4 linked regions of the Yarrowia lipolytica genome follow. The protein of the gene in region 2 purifies or fractionates together with the protein of the main gene of each other region. This does not show direct contact. Links are inferred from orthologs where the notes say so. Each region holds a gene or a part of one and is shown on either strand. Other genes may lie near its edges.

The links.
Region 1: the proteins of YALI1_E21962g (region 2) and YALI1_D14462g purify together in Saccharomyces cerevisiae (affinity purification with mass spectrometry; 3 studies listed by BioGRID, with this or other methods). This does not show direct contact. The link is inferred for Yarrowia lipolytica from reciprocal best matches to the Saccharomyces cerevisiae genes SET2 and RPB7.
Region 3: the proteins of YALI1_E21962g (region 2) and YALI1_C17949g purify together in Saccharomyces cerevisiae (affinity purification with mass spectrometry; 3 studies listed by BioGRID, with this or other methods). This does not show direct contact. The link is inferred for Yarrowia lipolytica from reciprocal best matches to the Saccharomyces cerevisiae genes SET2 and RPB4.
Region 4: the proteins of YALI1_E21962g (region 2) and YALI1_C28063g purify together in Saccharomyces cerevisiae (affinity purification with mass spectrometry; 3 studies listed by BioGRID). This does not show direct contact. The link is inferred for Yarrowia lipolytica from reciprocal best matches to the Saccharomyces cerevisiae genes SET2 and RPC10.

Annotation. Positions count from the first base shown.
Region 1 is NC_090773.1:1,444,419-1,448,990, forward strand, and holds YALI1_D14462g (uncharacterized protein), read right to left. Parts: upstream 1,816-4,572; coding exon 1,243-1,815; downstream 1-1,242. Other genes in the region: YALI1_D14453g (uncharacterized protein), read right to left, coding at 1-981; YALI1_D14477g (uncharacterized protein), read right to left, coding at 2,782-3,318; YALI1_D14489g (uncharacterized protein), read left to right, coding at 4,541-4,572. UniProt on the Saccharomyces cerevisiae protein: DNA-dependent RNA polymerase catalyzes the transcription of DNA into RNA using the four ribonucleoside triphosphates as substrates. Component of RNA polymerase II which synthesizes mRNA precursors and many functional non-coding RNAs.
Region 2 is NC_090774.1:2,193,054-2,199,343, forward strand, and holds YALI1_E21962g (uncharacterized protein), read right to left. Parts: upstream 3,214-6,290; coding exon 907-3,213; downstream 1-906. Other genes in the region: YALI1_E21983g (uncharacterized protein), read right to left, coding at 4,284-5,264. UniProt on the Saccharomyces cerevisiae protein: Histone methyltransferase that trimethylates histone H3 'Lys-36' forming H3K36me3. Involved in transcription elongation as well as in transcription repression.
Region 3 is NC_090772.1:1,792,230-1,796,721, reverse strand, and holds YALI1_C17949g (uncharacterized protein), read right to left. Parts: upstream 1,788-4,492; coding exon 1,251-1,787; downstream 1-1,250. Other genes in the region: YALI1_C17988g (uncharacterized protein), read left to right, coding at 1-211; YALI1_C17947g (uncharacterized protein), read left to right, coding at 2,012-2,581; YALI1_C17932g (uncharacterized protein), read left to right, coding at 3,439-4,492. UniProt on the Saccharomyces cerevisiae protein: DNA-dependent RNA polymerase catalyzes the transcription of DNA into RNA using the four ribonucleoside triphosphates as substrates. Component of RNA polymerase II which synthesizes mRNA precursors and many functional non-coding RNAs.
Region 4 is NC_090772.1:2,804,172-2,808,022, forward strand, and holds YALI1_C28063g (uncharacterized protein), read left to right. Parts: upstream 1-2,140; coding exon 2,141-2,392; downstream 2,393-3,851. UniProt on the Saccharomyces cerevisiae protein: DNA-dependent RNA polymerases catalyze the transcription of DNA into RNA using the four ribonucleoside triphosphates as substrates.

The sequences.
Region 1 (4,572 bases), on a different chromosome or scaffold from region 2:
GAGCAGTTTCAACGTGGCCGAGTTGTCGATCTGGGCTAACGAATGCAACTCCTTCTCCCGCTCGATAGGGTCAAACTCGGCGATCTTTCCCTTGAATTCGGGTAGCTGGTTGGCAATGTTCAGAAAGTCCTGGGTGCAGTACTTTGAGGTGGATAGGAAGAGTCTTCGTCCGTCAAACTCGGGGTTGAGAGCAGAAACATGGGCTTTGGCGCAGTCGCGCACGTCAACAAAGTAACCAGCTTTGACGGGAGGCTTTTGCCCGGGCTTGGTTTCAAAAGCGTTGGTTACAATGGCTTCATTGGAGGTGTTAATGGCCAGTGGATCGAGAATGATACCTGGACCGAGAATGAGCACGGGGTTGACCCAGGTGAGCTTGAACTTGGGTTTCTCCATCTTCTCAAACTCCACAGACGCCTTTTCAGCCATGGCCTTTGATCCAATATAGTTGGCATAGGGGTTGCCCTTCTCGGCCGCCTGTTCCCAGGTGATGGGGTTCCAGTCCTTCTCGGTCAGGGTAGTGGAGGGATCGTTGAACGTGGCAATGTTGAGAATGGCAGCGAGCGAAGAAGTGATAACCACCTTCTCGACGTTGGGGGCATGGTCCTTGGCTGCCTTGAGTACGGTTGTAGTTCCTTCGACCGCTGGTTGGAGCATCTCCTTCTCGGGGTCAGTCGTGTTGTAGTTGAAGGGGGAAGCCGTGTGCAAAATGTACTTGATCTCGGGATGTTTTTCGAAAATGGCCTTGAATTCACCGGCGTTTCTCACGTCGGAAAGCGTTTCCAGCTCCAATTGGCCTGAAGCAATCTGCTGCTTGAAGGCCTCAGCCAGACGTGCGGCTTTGTGGGGGGATCGAACCGTACCGATGACTCTATGACCTGCGCTGAGCAGCTGGTCGACCACGTGGCTGGCCAAAAATCCAGTGGAGCCGGTGACGAGAGAAGTTGGTGGCATGTTGACGGAGTTGTATGACGGAGATGTCATGATGACACACTCTTCATCTGCATTATGTTTAGGTTGATAATGCAGGCGTCGTGGTTATTAACCAACACGATACACAATTCTATACGGCGAGATCAGATAATAGTAAAAGATGGTGCTAAAATCAGTCAAGGAGTTTCTGCTTCGCTTCTCCACTTACTGGTCAGTCTATCGCCGTGTTTGTAGCGATCGTAATTGTCTCCATATCTCCTTCTAGTGATTGCACTTCTACCTCCAGTTCATATAAATATGTATTATAGTACACTAGACCAAACCCAGATAATCCTCCTTGATAGTACCAATGGCAAACATTTCTCCCACGTCGGCTCGCACTCCGACAATCTTCAGTCGCACCCGACTTCCCTTTTCAATGACCTGATCTTCACTGACGTATGCTGGTGGGTTTGCGCTAGGGTTGAACTTCATGTCAGGAGGAATCAGATGGGACGAGACAAACACGGACAAGGGGCCCACGTCGCCAAAGAAGCCCATCTTGTTCACGTTGGTCACTATCGCATCCACCACCTCGTTTTTGAACGGTCTCCACACAATGGCTCGGTAGTTGACTGTGAACTCGGCCGAGCCGTTGGAAGGCACCACTCTGCCTTTGCCAATGTCGAACGGCTGGTCCAGCACGCACAGAATGTAGCCGAATTCTCCGGTGCAAGTGCCCTCCACGTCCGCCAGCAGCTTGGACCGCAGGTATTGGCCCATCTGGGGGCCAAAGTATGACGGATGCAGAGTCAGAGAGAGCGTCAAGTCTTTCTGCGTTAGTTCTGTGGAAATTTGGCAACCTCGTTGTGCCAAGCTCCGTTGGAGTCTCCATCGCCCGTCCATCGCCTGGTAGAGGCTTCAAATTTGTAGGATAAAACAACACGCTTGTGGTGCTCGTGCTCGTGTGGTTCCGTGCTGAAAGTGTTATGTCATGTGTACAGCTGAAGAACCGAGTAGACACTCAGCTGAGATAGGAGACTTCGTCACATGCTCACTCCTCCATCCCTCACCTCTCAACACCACGGACATGACACCATCCACCGTTCTCTCGTCGTCGAACATCACCATACCACAGCCCATCGAATCACGGGCCGATCTGGTGTCTGAACACGTGATTCCACCCGTCTGACATCATCCATTCATGTCTTTGCGCCTGCTTCGCCTTCCCATACTCACAACAAAAAACATGCCGATGGTTTCTGGAGGTCTTGACCGAGTATCTCTCTTGACGAAACTGTGAAGCTAAAAAAAGGTGTTTTGGGAGAAGCTCGAGACATGTCGTAGAGGCGGTGTAAATAGATGTGTTGAGAATAAATGTCTTCGGAACCTGGTTCATTCTCAAGGATGCAGTATTGTGCAATGTTGTATTGAGCGGGTTTGGTCAGAGTCGCCGTACCGTGTCTGATACCGCTAATACTGCTTCAGCTGACTGTTGTGGACTGCTGCTTATTAATCATAGTATCTCCCACCTCCACTGCAATAAAGTTGCTGGGTCACGTGCCACTCGGGGTGTTTTATGTTAAGGATGATGGGTAAATGTGAAGGAGTATTGTACGTAGCGACGACTGTGTGGGAAGTGAGGTGCTTGTAATTGGAGAATGACGATATCCGACGGGTTGAACAGATCTTGTATAATTGTTGGAGTCAGATTTGTGTCTGTTCTTTAACTAATTAGTGGTTGTAGATGCACGTTACTTGAACTGTTGGTCAGTATTGGTTGAGATGAAGCTGTGTGGTGTGTCTACTCTACAGTGCGAGTGGTGTTGTGATGAGTTGTAAAATTCATTTCTATAAATAAGTGTGGGCGTCTTACTTCTGTTGTTGGACGCCAGTGGCTCCCAGAGTGAACTTGAATGGCTCCTCGCAGGTGTAGTTAGCGCTGCCCAGAAGGTACACCTCCTGGCCTCCGACTACAGCTCCGTCTTCGGAGGTGCACGAGTAAAACTCCTGAGAGCCCTTGTAGTAGACCTCGCTGACAAACGAGCCTCCTCCCTGGATGAGCCAGCCAGCGGTGGAGTTGGAGGAGGTACTGGAGGGCTGCGAGACAACCAGCTGGCCGTTTGCAGCAACAGTAATCTCGCCACCAGAGGGTCCGTTGGACACAACAGCCAGCTGCTTGTCCTTAACGTCCACCTCAAGTGGGGAGACGGAGGAGTTGCCCTTCTCAAGACCAAAGACCACCTTGTTGTCTCTGAGCTGGAGAGGCTTCATTCCCATGGCCCCGGCGCCAGGGTGAAGACGAAGGGTGAATCGCGTAGCAGAAGGACTGTTGCTGTAGTCCTGAACAGGAGCTGCAAAGACACCAGTGGCAGCTGTGGCTAGGGTGGCGTAGTACTTGAAGAACATGGTGATGGTGAAAGTAGTTGTGAGGGGAGTGCGATGGACTGAGAGCAGTGTCCACTATTTATATATATCTCACCACTCAGATAGACTACCGTATACAGCAATTGTCACAGAAGATACTGTATAACCAGCACATTGCATCATATTGCAGAGGAGTATCAAGAGATGGATGGTCCTGCATATGTCAGGTACCCGTTCTGAAACGAGGGGCTGTGCAGAGAGAGGTGTATTGTGGTAAATGAAAGAGCGATTGAGAAACAAATGACGCAAATCAATTGATCAATTCGTCACAGGGACTCTTTCGAATAAAAATTCAACCCCGTATGATCATCTCAACCTCATTCAAGCGGTGCTATCCGAAGACGATTGAGTTCAACCGAACACCATTGTGATGAACATCCTACTGTATGAAGAGAGGTACAGTATGTGCATAACAGTGTAGTAAGTGAAGAAAATAGGAAGACATTGGGAGTCGTACATGCGTGAGAATGTGTTACAGATGGAGCATGATACAAGTGTTTGCTTCTTTGGAATGAGCACCTATCATGCCATGCTACCCCCTTCCTACATGCCATCTTCAACTTTTCTGTCTCGATCTTCCTCATTGTAAGATATCGGTTCAAGGTCTGATGATGAGCAGTATTTAATGCAATAGTTCAACCTCCGATCTTTCCCTGATCATCCATGTATCGCTGTTGATCATGTTTACTTCTGACAGTGCTGTTACACAGTGCTCCTCTGGCGTACACTGTTCCCTTCCCTATCAAGGCTGTGTCTTTGAGGTAGGAGATTGCACCAGTGTCTCATCAATCAGGGAATGTGAGACATACAGCGGGTCAACAGCGGAACTTTTGGGATGGCACTTAGGGTGTTTCTTCAGCCAACTTTCAACCGCCATCTTCCAAGTTTGTACGAATACGTTTCCAGTCGTTTGTTAAAGCACCCAACTGATAAGTCAACTAACTAATACGGTTTACTGGACGAAGAGATGGTGTGCTGAGTGACGGCGTCCAATGGGTAGATATAAAGCAGAAAAGAGAGCCAACTAAATCAAATGTCTCTTCTTTGCCTTCCAAGATGACTCCCCGTCTATTGACGTTGTACGACACTCAAGTAGTCAAGTCACTTGTACCGCACTCCACTAACCCCGCTATCAACGCCTTATGCATCAACTCAAAATAATTATCTGGCATCAGACAACTCCGTGATATCAACCCAACACAGCATGCTTTCAATTCGACGAATCGCAAGTCAAAA
Region 2 (6,290 bases):
CTGGCTACAGCTAAAGCTACTTGTACAGTATGTCCAAAGTGGGGTGTGTATAGCATGTTCACAAGCCGCTTAGTCATCAAACCCCACATGACTACAGATGTCAAAAACCACTCGTCAAATCGTCGAGAGCAACAGATGTACGGAGCTGTACGGAGCTGTACCCAGCTGTATCCAGTTGTAGGGTGCTCGGAAGTGTTCAAGATGGTAGAATGGATTCTTGTTACGGATTTTTTTCACTGATTATTGCTGCAGATTGTGGAATTACAACGCTTATGGTCTCTCTCACAATCCCGACGCTCTCCAGATTCAAATGGTGTTGTCTGGGTCCACAGTATATACAGTACATACCTGTATGTGAATTCCCACTTGTTCCACATTAGTTGACTTTTGTTAAGAGAAAAAGTCGGCTGGGGGTTCAAATAAGAGGTTACAGAAACCGCCGGAAAAAGAGAGCAGAACCAAATTGTCCAGAAAAGTGACAGATCAATAAAAGTATTATATTCGGCCCCTTTTCATATAAAAAAACGAGATAATCATGATTCAAGTACCCCATAGATATTGCAATTTACTTGAATTTAGTTGGGAGAGGTCACGATGCCATCCCTCAGAGCTCAACCGAAGAATGACGAATGACAAACTGAATCCATTGATGCTCACCCCTGTCTTATGCAATACTGCTCATTATCTATAAATGTACCCGTGATCCGAAAAACAATTCCAAGGTGATAATCACAAAAAAGTGCTGCATTTCTGTCAAACATTCCTGTTATCGTAGTTCAGAGCGCATAGAAACTTTGCACATTACTAGAGTACACGGTAGGACGTGCTAATTACATCCACAACCAATAAAATACAACACCATTCCTAATATACATACTATTTATACACCTATTGCAACTGTAGCAATCACTCCAAATCAATCTCCATATCAACCTTGGGCTTCTTGACCGTCTCCGTCGACGTTTCGGCACTTTCGTCGTCATACATTGGTCCAGCTTCATACGGCTGGTTTTCTTCGCCCTTTCTTTTTCGTCCGTGATTGTCAGAGTGATCGCGGTCCGACTGACCTTGTCTACCACGTCGGTCGGATTGCCGCTCAGAGTCTCGTCGGTTACCTTGTCGACCACGGCCAAAATCTTTGGCCCCACCCTCCTTCTCCTCCAACCGCTTGACCACCTTGCCCATGTAGCCCTTGACAAACTCCTTGATTTTCTTGGCCTTCTCATCACTAATCTCAGTCATGGGCTCCGGACGTTTCAGCTCCTTGTCCACCAGAATCTGCACAATGTCCTTAGAACACTTTTTCGCCCGCTCCCGATCAACGTCGTATTTGGACACTTGATTGGGCACCACCTTGGCCAGCAGTTTAGTCAGCCGATGCGCCTGCGCGTTCACGGGCTTGGCAGACGCAGAAGGAGCCGGCTCGCTGTTATTTTTCACCTCCTGCAACCGAGCCTGCTCAATGATGCGCTGGAGATCACTCTCGCGCTGTGACTGCAAAGAAAGCGGCTCTCGGGTCTCGGAATTGTCCCGTCTCTCGTCTCGACGGTTGCCACGGGGACCCTTGGGGCCCTTGGGGCCCTTGGGGGTCGAGGGTGAGCTCGCACGTGACGCCTTGGGGAAATCCCACTGTTGGATGTTCAGCTCGAGATTGTAGTAGTACACCTTGCCCTGCGGGTCGTTCGCAAACTGCCAGCCCTTAGGCAGGCTCCTTGGAGGCACCATGGGTGATGCAGGCTGCTTGACGGCCTTCTTGGGGCCCTTGGGGGCTGTTTTGTTAGAGTAGGGGGTGGGGATGAAGGTGAAGGGGGATTCCGAGCGGGTGGACGGCGAATCAGTAACGCCGTTTCCGTTGTTATCTGCTTTTTTGTTCACCTTGACAACTTCCACATCATTGGGCTCCTCAGACTTGGAGCTCTCCTTGGTGACCTCCTCGCTGGTACCTCTAGAGACCGAATGCTCGTCTCCGTCGGGATCAATTTTTCGTCGTGGGATTCGGAAAGCCATTTTCAGGTTTGCCCATTCAGACAAGAGCTCCTGGGCAATGGTGGCAATGTCACTGTTGTCGTTGGACGTCAGGCTCTTGACCACGTTTTCAATCTGCGAACTGGAGATTTTGTTCTTTGTGATTCGCGGCCACTTTTGCAGGACTCGCAGCAGCATCAGCGTCACGTTCACGCGGTCGCTGTCGTCCAGCCCAAGAGGATTGTCGCCCCACGTGGCGGTCAGAATCTGCGCGAAGATCTGGTATCCATGCATCTTCATGACTGCTGCCTGGACGGACGTGTCTGTGCACAGAGCAATACGCTGCAGCATGAGGTTGACCTGCCAGGCTTCCTGGTTCATCATGAGAGACGCCATGACCTTGGACACGTCCTGCACGGTCAGGTCTCGGGGTCGCAAGTCCTCGGCCGACTTTTTGCCTCTCAGAATGGCGTTGATATCTCTGGACGTGAGACCCAGAGCAGCGGTCAAGGTGCCGGAGACCTTGCTGGCGCTTTCCGTCTGCGTTTTTCCGCCGAGAAAGCCGACACAGTTTTTCTCGCCGCAGTAGCACGCCTGGGCCTCGGCTCCGTACCGGTCCACGTTGTAGTCAAACGTGACCTCTTCTCCCCTTTGAATGTGTCGAGATGCGAAAATGCCCATTCTGAGCCGTTTGCCCACGACCCACTTTTCCACGTGGCCATTAGGCGCGCACGAATGGTTGCAGAACCGACCCAGTCCTCCCTTGGCGGTAGCGTCGATGAACTCGCCCTTTTGCAGCATCATAAAGTAGAAATGCTTGACGCCCTGGGTCGTGTAGATGGCCGTTCGCTCCTTGAAGGTCGGCTCGTCAATCACCTCGCCCACGTACTCGTAGACAAATTCGCCGGCGGCGATGTCCTTGGTGGCCCGCAGTCCAAACCCCTTCTTTTCTGTGCTGATCACGTCCACCGATGCGTATTTTTTGCCCTGGAACCGTTTGTTCTGACAGCCCTTGCAGCACCGAACACACTCGATGGAAGTGAGTCGGTTGATGCACCCGCTGTCCTCGTCACACGCCGTGGGCCCGGGCTTACAGTCACACGCCATGACTTCCGCCTGCTGAGACGAGCCCAGACCCTTCATGTACGTGCACTCCGGGAGCTCCACAAATGTCTGAAGCGCGTCCTTGGTCACGTCGCGAGCATCGGGGAACAGCTGCGCGTTTATTGGTGAGTTGTTGCCCGACATGTCGATGTTGAGAGGGCGCAGGTCGTGATGGTGGAGAGAAACGCCGCTGGGAGGTTGTGCATATGTCGACAGTAGCACCACCAGTACAGATTATTGTATGGAGGTGAGGACGTGATTGTGCACGTGAAACGACCCAACCAGAGTTTGGGGCAACATGACACACAGATATATATATGTATATATATAATGCTACTTATCAGCACTTTTTTCAGCTGCTTTTCTTGCCATTTTTTCAACCCCCCAGACATCACACGATAGGCAATCTGATGGTGGGATGAAAAATACACGCAAAACGCCGTACATGCGCGTAATCCTAATTACACCCATGGAGACCTGTACAAGTTTAGTACAAGAAGCTACCATTATCAATCCAAACACGTGACCTAGCCGGAGCCCATACAGTCCAAACACGTGACCCACCCCCCCCGGCTCCCCCCCCGCCCCTTCCCCCCCTTGGCTCGGGTCACGTGACCGCCGTCTTTTTCTTTCGTTTCTCGGTGTGATTGATTGGCTCGTTAATTTTTCGGATCAAAATTTTCCAACCGGAAATCGAACTGAGACACGGTTGTTGGAGTCAAGACGATGACAGAACTGCTTCTAATCTTAACAATCTAGTTGAGGAAGTTAGTTGAAATTACTGGGGATGAAAATTCAGCTGGGGGTTCATTTACGGGGTTGTAGAAACGGTGGAGACTAGGAAAGTTGCTGTGTGGATAGTCGATCAGCAACTTGATAAGTAATAATGACTTTTGAGAATCTCTACACCACAATAATCAGAGATATCTTCATTTCAGCGTCTCGTTGTTGAGTGTGATTAGTGGAAGAAAAGTAAGATTTAGTTGGTATGTACTAGATGGGTGTAGGATTTGTACTGCAAAGCAGAAATAGAGCAGAAATGGTCTCCTAGCACCCACATCTCTCTCACTTGTACTCGCCGCTTGTTAGTCGTCATAAAAAATACAATTAACATTCTATACATAATTTTTTGTTAGACCGTTCCAGTGAAAGCCACAGCTTGGCTTGCCACTCGGTGAGCCGACAGTGGGATCTACAGTAGTCGTCGTGCCAGCTTATTTCATGCAGTAAAATCGCTTGCCGCCCTTGTTCTCAGCCTTGCACTCCCACTCCAGAGTAATGTCCAGATCTCGGTTGTTCTTCTCGTTGGGTCGGCAGTCAATGGATCCAGTCACCTCGTCACCGGCTCGCAGAGACACCTGGCCGTCAATGTAGAAGACAGTCTGCTTCCAGTGAGTGTACTTGGCATGGGGGCCGGTGGAGAACTTGACGGGGGTGGTGAGCTTGTTGAACTCAATGTCGAACCAACACAGAATAGCGTGGGCAGTGTCGTTGACCCGGGCCTTGAGGTCAAAGTTGGCCTTGAAGGCCAGATCCTCCACCTTGACGGTGTACAGATCGATCTCAAACACCTGGCAGGGGTTGGAGATGACGTGTCGGAGGTCCACGGTGTCGACCAGAGGCTCGGACAGCACAATGTCCTTGAAGGGCGAGTAGTCAAAGCCGTAGACGTCGTCCCAGAAGGACACCTTTTCGTCCTTGTACTCGCCGTCCTCCAAAAGAGCGGCGTAGATGGTGGACTTGTCGGGCATGATAATACCTCCGGGGACCAGGTACTTGTCTCGGGCGTACAGCACCGTGTCCAGCATGGATTCGTAGAGCAGGAAGTAGCCCATCCACTCGGAGATGATAATGTCCACCTTCTGGTAGGGTAGGGTGATCTCCTCCATCTTGCCCTGGATCAGGGTAATCTTGTCGCTGAGTCCGTTAAGATCGACAATCTTTCGGGCCATCTCGATGATGTTGGACATGTCCACGCCCATGACATGCTTGGCACCGGCCTGCGCAGCAAACATGGACAGAATGCCGGTTCCACAGCCCACATCCAGCACAATCTTGTCCTTGAACAGGTCTCGGTTTCGCAGAATTGCGTGCTTGTACGACAGAGTTCGCGACTCGTCCTTGAGCATCTCCTCATGGATGCCAAAGTGGTCGTACGACGAAAAGTAGTGCTGCTCGGAGTATGGGAGGGACATTGTGGGTGTGCGGTAAGAGGTCGGGTCAACAATGGTGGTGAGAAGAAGAAAGCTTCTTTATAAAAATTTCCCAGCTATGCACGATAACTTTATCGACCAACCATGCAGGTGGGTCAGAGACCGAAAGAGGGTGTTGCGGCTTGAAAATGACGGTTTTTGTTTGTGGAATCAATTTCTACGGCTTCAAAAACCACAACGAAATATCCGTGGTCCAAATCTGACCACCATAACCCCCTCCTGACCGTGCTGTTTAGCTCAAACCATGGGATATTTTTCACAACACTCGCATGAACCCTGTAGGAGTCGAGAATGACGAATATCGCGAATTTGGTGGTGGAACAAACGGCAAGAAATTGATTGTTGATCGACAGACTGGTGGTTGGGGAATCACCTCTCGTGCTGATTAACCCGTATCAATTACGGGTGTTTATTATGAGATTTCCTCATCTCCTTCTTTATACTGTGAAGTTTGTCGTAGCGGTAATGTGACATTGATGGTTATCGTGGACCAGTGTACGGACAGGTTATGACCAGGTAAGGGGAAACAGGTATTTCCGATGGACTTGATGGTGAGTTCTCCTAGTTTATACCTTCAAAAAAGGTATCCTTTTTGGTGACAGCATCTCTTGGAGCTACAGTTTCACCTATGACCATTAATGAACTCATACCGACTGAGGAGTCGGCCCGTACCAAACCCGAACTCGACCCGACTCGACTCGACTCGGCTCGATAGTCACCCTTCCCTACCTGCAACTTGTTTCAGCCTTACTATCGCCGGCAATTCTCCTTCGGGTCTCTCGTCGGTATCCAGTCAGTTCAATGACTGTTAGGCCAGTTGAGTCTCGCTCGTTGCTCTTTCAGCCCATGGCGTAGTATTCGCTCAATGCTCCCCGGAATTGATCTAGGCCGTAGCTCGAATAGCGCCCACAACGGCCGGTAAGGCACAGGCTGGTTTACCGAACAGCCACCAACACTACTCGTAGCGTAAACCGGCATATACCTGGCGGAGTCAACAGTCGACAGTCG
Region 3 (4,492 bases), on a different chromosome or scaffold from region 2:
TGCTCTAGGAACTGCCAAGGAGGGCTCTCATATCCCCTACAGAAACTCCAAGCTCACGTATCTCTTGCAGTACTCGCTTGGCGGCAACTCCAAAACCCTCATGTTGGTCAACGTTTCTCCCATGCAGGCTCATGCTTCCGAGACCATCAATTCTCTGCGCTTCGCCACCAAGGTCAACAACACCCATATTGGCCGAGCCAAGCGAAACTAAGTAATTCTAACCTATTTAATAACACTAGATTTAATGATGAAGTTGTACGTGTATTAGTACAAGTACTTGTAGGGAAGATCTTGAATAAAGCCCAAAAGAAGTGATCAGACAAATTAAGAAGACTTGCATAGGATTTATCCGGAACAAAACATCACTTATGTGCTCTCATTGATTTTATTTGCTTTTATGGTGATTATACCTTTTATCTTTATTCCATACTTGACAGCTTAGTCTCAAAAATATTCAGAATATTTCAGAATCGAGTTGAAATGAACCAAAACATATCTCCAAGGACATTCAATTTGAATTTATGATCTTTTGACCCAGACCTGCGACAGGTAGCAATTTTTTCGATTTTTTGGTGTTTTATTCCCCCTTTTTTTTCTCGTTTTATTCTAGGGAAATACATTTCAGCTACTGTTTCTTGAGGTTTTTTTATATATTTTATTCTAATGATTCATTACGGCTATATACCTAGTAGGCCAGGTTATTGGCATTCAATAAATCATACACTTGTAAATCGTTTATTTTTATTATTATAATTTTTGCTGACTAAGTAAATCCTGGATATGGATAAACACGACTTTTTTAAAAGAAAAATCGCCTGGCTAGCTCAATCGGTAGAGCGTGAGACTCTTACTCTAAGGTCATCTCAAGGCTGTGGGTTCAAGCCCCACGTCGGGCTGATCTTTTTTTGCCTTTTTTGGCCATTTTTTTTGCTTACTAAGATTCAGAATATATATACCGCGATGGAGCCAACCGAGAGCATCCTGACGACAATGAAAAATACCTGATATGTTCATGAATGGAGGGACTGTGTGTGTTTGGGCATGTGTTCTCGTGGGTACAAGTGTATGTATCGACAGTAAGTACAGTACCGTTTAAACGGCAGTGTGAACTCGGTAATTCCGTAGTCATGTTGTGTCATATCTCTTTGAGTACATCAGCTACTCGTACCACATTAGCCTGTGGTCCACATACCCGCTGTTATACAATATATATTACCCACCTTGTAGCACCATTTATAATACAGCACCGTTTAGTTTTCTCGGTCATGTTCTCTGACCAGATCCAGCAGCTCCTGGAGCTGGGCGTCGGTTCGCTTGGCAGCCAGAGAGGGAATCAGAGTTTTGGCCTCCTCGGCTCCATCACACGACAGAGTTCCGAGCTGGGCGATTTCAAACGGATGCAGATCGGCGTTGTCTTGGTGACGCAGAATCTGGGCCACCGCAGCCACCTTTTGCTGTTCTCGGAACCGCGAGAAGATGTTCATGTACTCCCGGGTCTTTCGCAGCACGTCATTGGCGTTGATCTCCTCCTCGTCGTCCAGGGTATCGTCTTCCGTGTTCTCAATACCCAATGCGTCATTCTTTCGCTTCTTGAGCGTATGGTTAATGAGAGATCGGGCCTCTGAGGTCGACAGAGCTGTGAGGGCGGTCTCAAACCCGTCGTGGGTGTATTGGGTCACGTCGAACTCGGGTCCGAGTTTCAGCTGGGCTGCATCCTCGTCCTGCACCGCGTTGACGGTCGTGGGCTTTCGTCGCTGCTGCTGAACAGTACTTGTAGACACGTTCATTGTTGTGTGTGTGTGTGTCTTGTGTGGTTTTGTGGGTTGATGATCACAGACAGTGGTGTTTCCACCAGTGCATATTGGACTGAAGATTAAAATCCACTCGGTTCGAATCCCCGCTGGGTAGGCTAATTTACGCCATTTGGGTCACGCGTTAAGTCTAAATTATACGCGTCAGATCAACTGGTACACTGGCAGGGCACAAGAAACAGCACCAAACACTGACAAAAATGCCTCCTTCAACTACGCTCATTCTGGCAGCCACAGTGCCCCGATATGGCATCGGACTCAATGGAGGACTTCCATGGAGACTAGCCAAAGAAATGAAGTTCTTCAAACAGGTGACTACAGCCCAGAAGAACGCCGTCGTCATCATGGGACGAACCACCTGGGACTCCATTCCCCCCAAGTTCAGACCTCTTCCTGATCGAACCAACATTGTTCTCACTTCTAGACCCATGACTGACGCTCCCGAGGAGGTTGTAGTCGCCCGGTCGTTCGACGAAGCGCTTACAAAGTGCCCCGAGGATTCTACCGTTTACGTCATCGGCGGATCTCAGGTTTACAAGACCGCGCTGGTCCACGAACATACAAAGGCCGTGCTTTTGACAGAAATTACCTGTCCCGACGGCCACGTGGAATGTGACACCTTCTTCGAGGGCTTTGACCAGGGTCTGTGGAAGAAGCAGCCTTATGAACGTCTCCAAGACTTTGTGGGAGACAAGGTGGAGCTTCCTGGACGAGATACTCCTGTGGAAGAGAAGGGCTTTTCTTTCGTTTACACCTTGTGGGAGAAATAAGCGGATTCAAGCTGGATCCTGTTGGAATGCCGCTGCCTGTGGTCGTTGTACTGGCTATGCGACTGGCCTGAACTCGGATATCTCCTGTTGGCTGGTATCTCAATTGTTGGCTGGTATCTCAATTGTTGGCTGGTATCTCAATTGATGACTGATATCTACCGAAACTGAACCCTAGGGAGTCGGCCTTATGATCATGGCTACGGAGTATCTCAGCCTGTGTCTGACCCTGTCTCAACACCTTGGCTTACGAGCACCAAAATTGTAATGTAACATGTTTTAAATGACTGGTTGAAGATCCGTCAGACCAACCATCATTGGACTGACGCCCAAAGGCTATCCAGGGCATATTTATCTACTTGTAGCTACAATACCACTGTTGTCAAGTTGAAATTTACCTGCATGTCCAATGACGATGAAGTTTGTTTAAATTTTTTTATTAGAGTTTTCAAAAAAAAAAGGGAGAAAAAAAGGAAATTTTTTATATTTTTCTGTCGATTTTCGGGGTGTTTTAGAAATATTCGAAATTCATCCATGAAATAAGTAATGAATTCTATATATACATACATTTAATGCCATCAAAGAGAGAACCGGGAGTGTGTCTGTTATCTTGGAACTGTTATTCTGCTACTACAGGTACGAGTATGACGAGTACAGCCCTGTATTTTTTTTTTCATAAATATGATTTAAAACCGAATTAAATCGAATTAAAAACTACAAATAAATCCAGAGGAGCCAGAAACGGGCTCGCCCCGAAGCTCTTGCTTCTGTAATGCTGGCTTTGCTGTCGGATTTATGGTTATCCAGAACAGCTTGTTGTACTTGTAGTTCGCATTTCTCAGCGAAAAATATTCTACTGCATGAAAGGTAATTTTTTGCAAGTGATCAAACGTCTGATTCCGTTGAAAGGCCGATTTTTCCCCGTCACCATGAGCGAACCTACCACCACCCCCGTCGTCGGCAACAGTGCGTCCGGCGACTCGGCTGAGCAGCACGATCTCGGCCAGAAGCGAGGCAAGGGAGGCAACTGGAACCGACCTCGAGGCGATCACCAGGCCAAGAAGCAGAAGATGGACCGACGAGGCGACCGACAACGAGAGCAGGAGAAGCAGGGCGAGGGCCGAGATACACGTCGAAAGACGGACGGTCCTCTGGTGGCCGACGAGGTGCGACAGCCCAAGCGAAAGGTTGCCTGTATGATTGGATATTGTGGAACTGGTTACCATGGCATGCAACTGAATCCTCCCCAAAAGACCATTGAGGGTGATATCTTTCAGGCCTTTGTCAAGGCCGGGGCCATCTCTCAGAACAACGCCGACGACCCCAAAAAGTCGGCTTTCATGCGAGCTGCTCGAACCGATAAGGGTGTGCATGCCGCCGGTAACGTCATCTCTCTGAAGATGATCATTGAGGACGAGAACATTGTGGAGAAGATCAACAGCCATCTGCCCGAGCAGCTGCGTGTCTGGGGCGTTTCTCGAACCAACAAGGCTTTTGAGTGCCGAAAGTTGTGTTCTTCTCGAGTCTACGAGTACCTGATGCCTACCTACTCGTTCCTGAACCCTCGACCTGGCACTGTCATGTCCGAGAAGCTCCTCAAGGATGGAACCAGCCCCGACGAGGAGGGCAAGAAGTACTGGGAGTCTGTCGCTGCCGATCTCGAGTCCCAGGGCGTCTCTTACGACGAGTGGATGAAGCGAGCCTGTATTGATGAGATCAAGGGGGAGGAAACCAAGGAGGGTGAAGCCAAGGAGGTGGCCGAGTCTGAGGTCAAGACTGACTCCAAGACTGACGCTGCCACTCTTGAGAAAATCAAGGCTGTCGAGCGAAGACACCGGGAGGAGTTCCGAATCTCTGGCGAACGACTCGCTAAGATCAGAGAGATTCTCAAAATCTACGAGGGCACCCACAACT
Region 4 (3,851 bases), on a different chromosome or scaffold from region 2:
GCACTGGCTGTCTAATACATTTTCTTAACTAATTATTTTAAATGTTGTAGAGAGTCAAGTAAATAGTGTCCGAGAAGTAACATCAACAACCTTCCTCAATAACAACATGGTGAAAGGAGCAATGCAACCACATTGCTGAAATATCATAATGAGTAGAATAATAGGCTGGATCAAATGGAATTGTATCAGTTTACCCTATAGAACCCTCTAGAGCAGAGGAGCATGTTGAGCTGTTCTAATCTCTGGACTATCGATAATGCAGATGGATGATTGCATGCAGGAGTATGTAATGTATGTACTGTAGCCACTGCATTGAAAGCTCATTACAAAGTACAGTACTGTAGGTGATTTTTTTTGGGGATATTACAGTAAACCTCTTTTACACCCATCCTTACCTCATTACCGGACCCTGCCCGACACTGTCCTTGGTTCTTGATAACTTTGGACACTGGAGTCACGAAGCTCTTCACAGAGCTGAAGAAAGAGGAGGTTGAGGATCTACATATGGAATAATGCTGCTGGGGGGAACATTGCGGTAAAAACTTAACCCGGTGTGATTTTTACCCTGACTTAACTGTCTTTTGCTCCACTCATGTATATGACTCTCCTTTTACCCTCGAATGAAGATGCAGAGTCTGCTGAAGCTCCTACTCCATCTTCAGGCTCACCCTTTAATGGACCCTTTCACTAATCCCACCTCGCCCCGGACCATTAACATACAATCAAATACATTATATACATAGATACATACAAGCAAGCAAGCAAACAAACAAAACGTTCCTAACCCTCCTTTCAATCACCCCGGAACATGGGCAAGGAAACAGAGGAAGAGTAATAAGTAGACGGGTTAACATCCATGTGAGGATGGGAGGTAGAGTGGTTGAGTGAAGGAGCCGATCCAGACATCATCTGCTGGATGATGGACGCCTCCTGACGCAGGTTTTCCACTCCCTTGGCCATCTTATTGATGTTGGACGAAAACTCATTCTCCATAGCCTGACGCTTGGCTTGTCGTTTTCCTCGCTCAGCCATGAGTCGCTGCAGACAGTTGTCGAGCTCCCCGCGGTACGTGAAGCCCAGCAAGATACTAGTGATTCTTCCGCTCCCTTTTTGTCGGCAGCAGCACACTTCAAATCCATCTCATTCTGCGCAGCTGAATGATGTAAATTTCTCAGAAACGGCACAGCTGAAGTACATACAGCTACCCTACTGTACGTTCGAGATGAGATGGAGAGACAGGGGGCTCGCTCTTATCGCAGCTTTTGATTGCCCTGCGGTAGCGACAGCTGAAGGAAATGTCTTGTTTGAGACCCACTGCGTAGGGGCTATTGCGTCTGAGGTCCTCGTATGAACATCCCGAGCGTCTTCAGGACGAAACATTGCACTAGCCTTTCCCCTTTAAAACAAGGAGTCTTGCGAAATCTCAGATATCCAATATTCACCTTCGCAGACATCCCATATTTACCTTCGCAGACATCCCATGTTCACCTTCTTAGCCGTTGTGCTATGAAGGTGGCCATGGGGTGACGATGAAAGTCGCATGTTGTACACAAACTCGAATAGTTTCGTCTAGTGTATCGTATCAACTTTTCTACCTCTTCGATTAACACCAATATGATCCTTGTAGCACTCAATGGTCTATCTGAAATGATATGATATCAGATCAGATGCTGTACCAGAAAGTATACTGATCAGAAGCACACTATTAACGGTCTCTCCTTTTTATTTCACACAATTCTAAACTTTATTTTATAACACTCGAACTCGCTGAATTCAGCCGCATTCACTGAAAATAGCTCGCGAAAACGAATATTTTCCAGCTCGTAACCTATATGAAATCCTCCACTCATCACAAAATGCTCTCAAACTCGTTTGATGCTCTTTCTTAAGTTCTCATTAACGTCTCAAAATCTTAACCTTCCATTCAATATACACCTCCAAATCAACAATCGTGAACGAGATATCTTTGATTACATAATCCAACGAGTAATTACGTGACCAAAAGCATGGATATCGCAAATAAATCTCACTGCGCGAAATAACTTCAATCTTGTCCTTTGCTCCACCTCTCGCACAGCTTACGCCTACCGCTCACAGTCTATGCTTAGTAACAAACCTTGTCAAAATATTTTAATTTTGTATGCAGGAATTTTCGCCTCCATCTTCAACTTTGCAACACAACATGAACAAGGAATCGTTTTCTCCTTCGCTTGATTCGCAGAACCTGTCTGCCTCCGCCTCCGGAGTGGCCAACAACAAGTCGTACGCCGTCAAGTACCTGTGTGCCAACTGTTCGTCCAAGGTGGTTCTCATCCGAGGCGATCCAGTTCGATGCAAGGAATGCGGTCATCGAGTTTTGTACAAGGAGCGGGCCAACTACACTGGTGAGTAAAGCGGGTGTGCTATAGATGCCGTGGCGACGTCGCGGTGGGTGCTACCTCCAGCGTTTGATGGTGTGATGGTGGCAAGCTGGGTCACAGTGTGTCATGAGAGAGAGAGTGAAGAGGGGATACACTGCGCGTGACACGGAGAGTGTGATGAAGGAGAAGCGTCACAGGTGGCAGTGAAGAATCGACAGGAAGAGATTGGACTCAACGATTCGTTTATGGGGTGATGGGCTTATTTGGAGATATGAAACATTACGAATCGACACAGGACAGAATATGGGCCACGGACGAATCCGTGGTTGAGGGCTGAAGGGCAGCATCATGAAAAGTGATGGAAACGTAGCTACTGGATCTGGATGTTGGTTTGATGCAGCAGATTCAACAGTTCCGTTCAGACAACAAATTCCAGTGAAGCGATACGTGGATAAGGTCGAAAAGTTGTAGGTCATCCGTGGCGACAGCAAGAGTGACCTATAATGTTTCTTCTGGACCATGGATAGTGCTCCAAACCCAGTGTGCAGTGTTTGGTATCATAAGACTTCTGCCTGAGCGACGATAGCTCTACCTGATAGCTCTGCCTGAAGTCGGGATTGTCCGCCTGTTCTGGTTGTGTCTGTGTCTGAATCCATCCGAGCCTGAATGTGTCTGATTCTGCCTCTCTGTTGTATATATCCGTCACTAACTGGGTATCTGTGATTCTGCCCGTGTTTCACTCTGCTTCCTGTTTGCTTCAATCTGATCGTCTGTTCGATTCAGCTCGATGTCTCAGCTCCGAGTTCCCAAACGCCTTATTGGTGCCCTCTGCCTTATCTGGATACCCTGTCCCACTGCTTACCGCCTCTTGCCTCTCACATCACTATGGTGCCTTGATCGCAAGCTCCACCAATTCAATCCAGCCCAATCAACCAATACTAACGCAGTCCAATTCTCCGCCAGATAGTTTAGTTATTTATATATTGTATACTAGAGCAGAAATACAGCAGCATTGGTTTGGAACACTGAGAATCGTTGAGGGAGTTACTAAGCAGATTGTTCAGCACAAGTGTAAACTCATTTCGAGAGAGCTGGTACGAAATGGAGACAGTGCTAGAGTCATTGAATCAGAAGAAATTACCGTTAAATGAGGGGTTGACTCTTCCATGACACCTGCTTCCAGACAGACGCAATCTATTGACGATGAAATGCCTCGACACAGCTTATGAACCACTAGTATACAAGTACTTGAACTGGTTGAATTGGAAGCTGCGGGGAGACAGACGGATGTTTAGTACGCGTAATTTGTAGATCTATGGAGTTATCTTATGTACATAGACATCATTACGCTGAGGAGAGGCCGCCTTACTCTGCAGTTGGTGTAATAGACCCCTACTTAGTTTATTGACACTTTTTGTTGGTATAATTGTAGCTTGAAGTTCAAACCGGGAGAACTGTGCGGATAAAAGCCTCATGAACATAAACAGATTT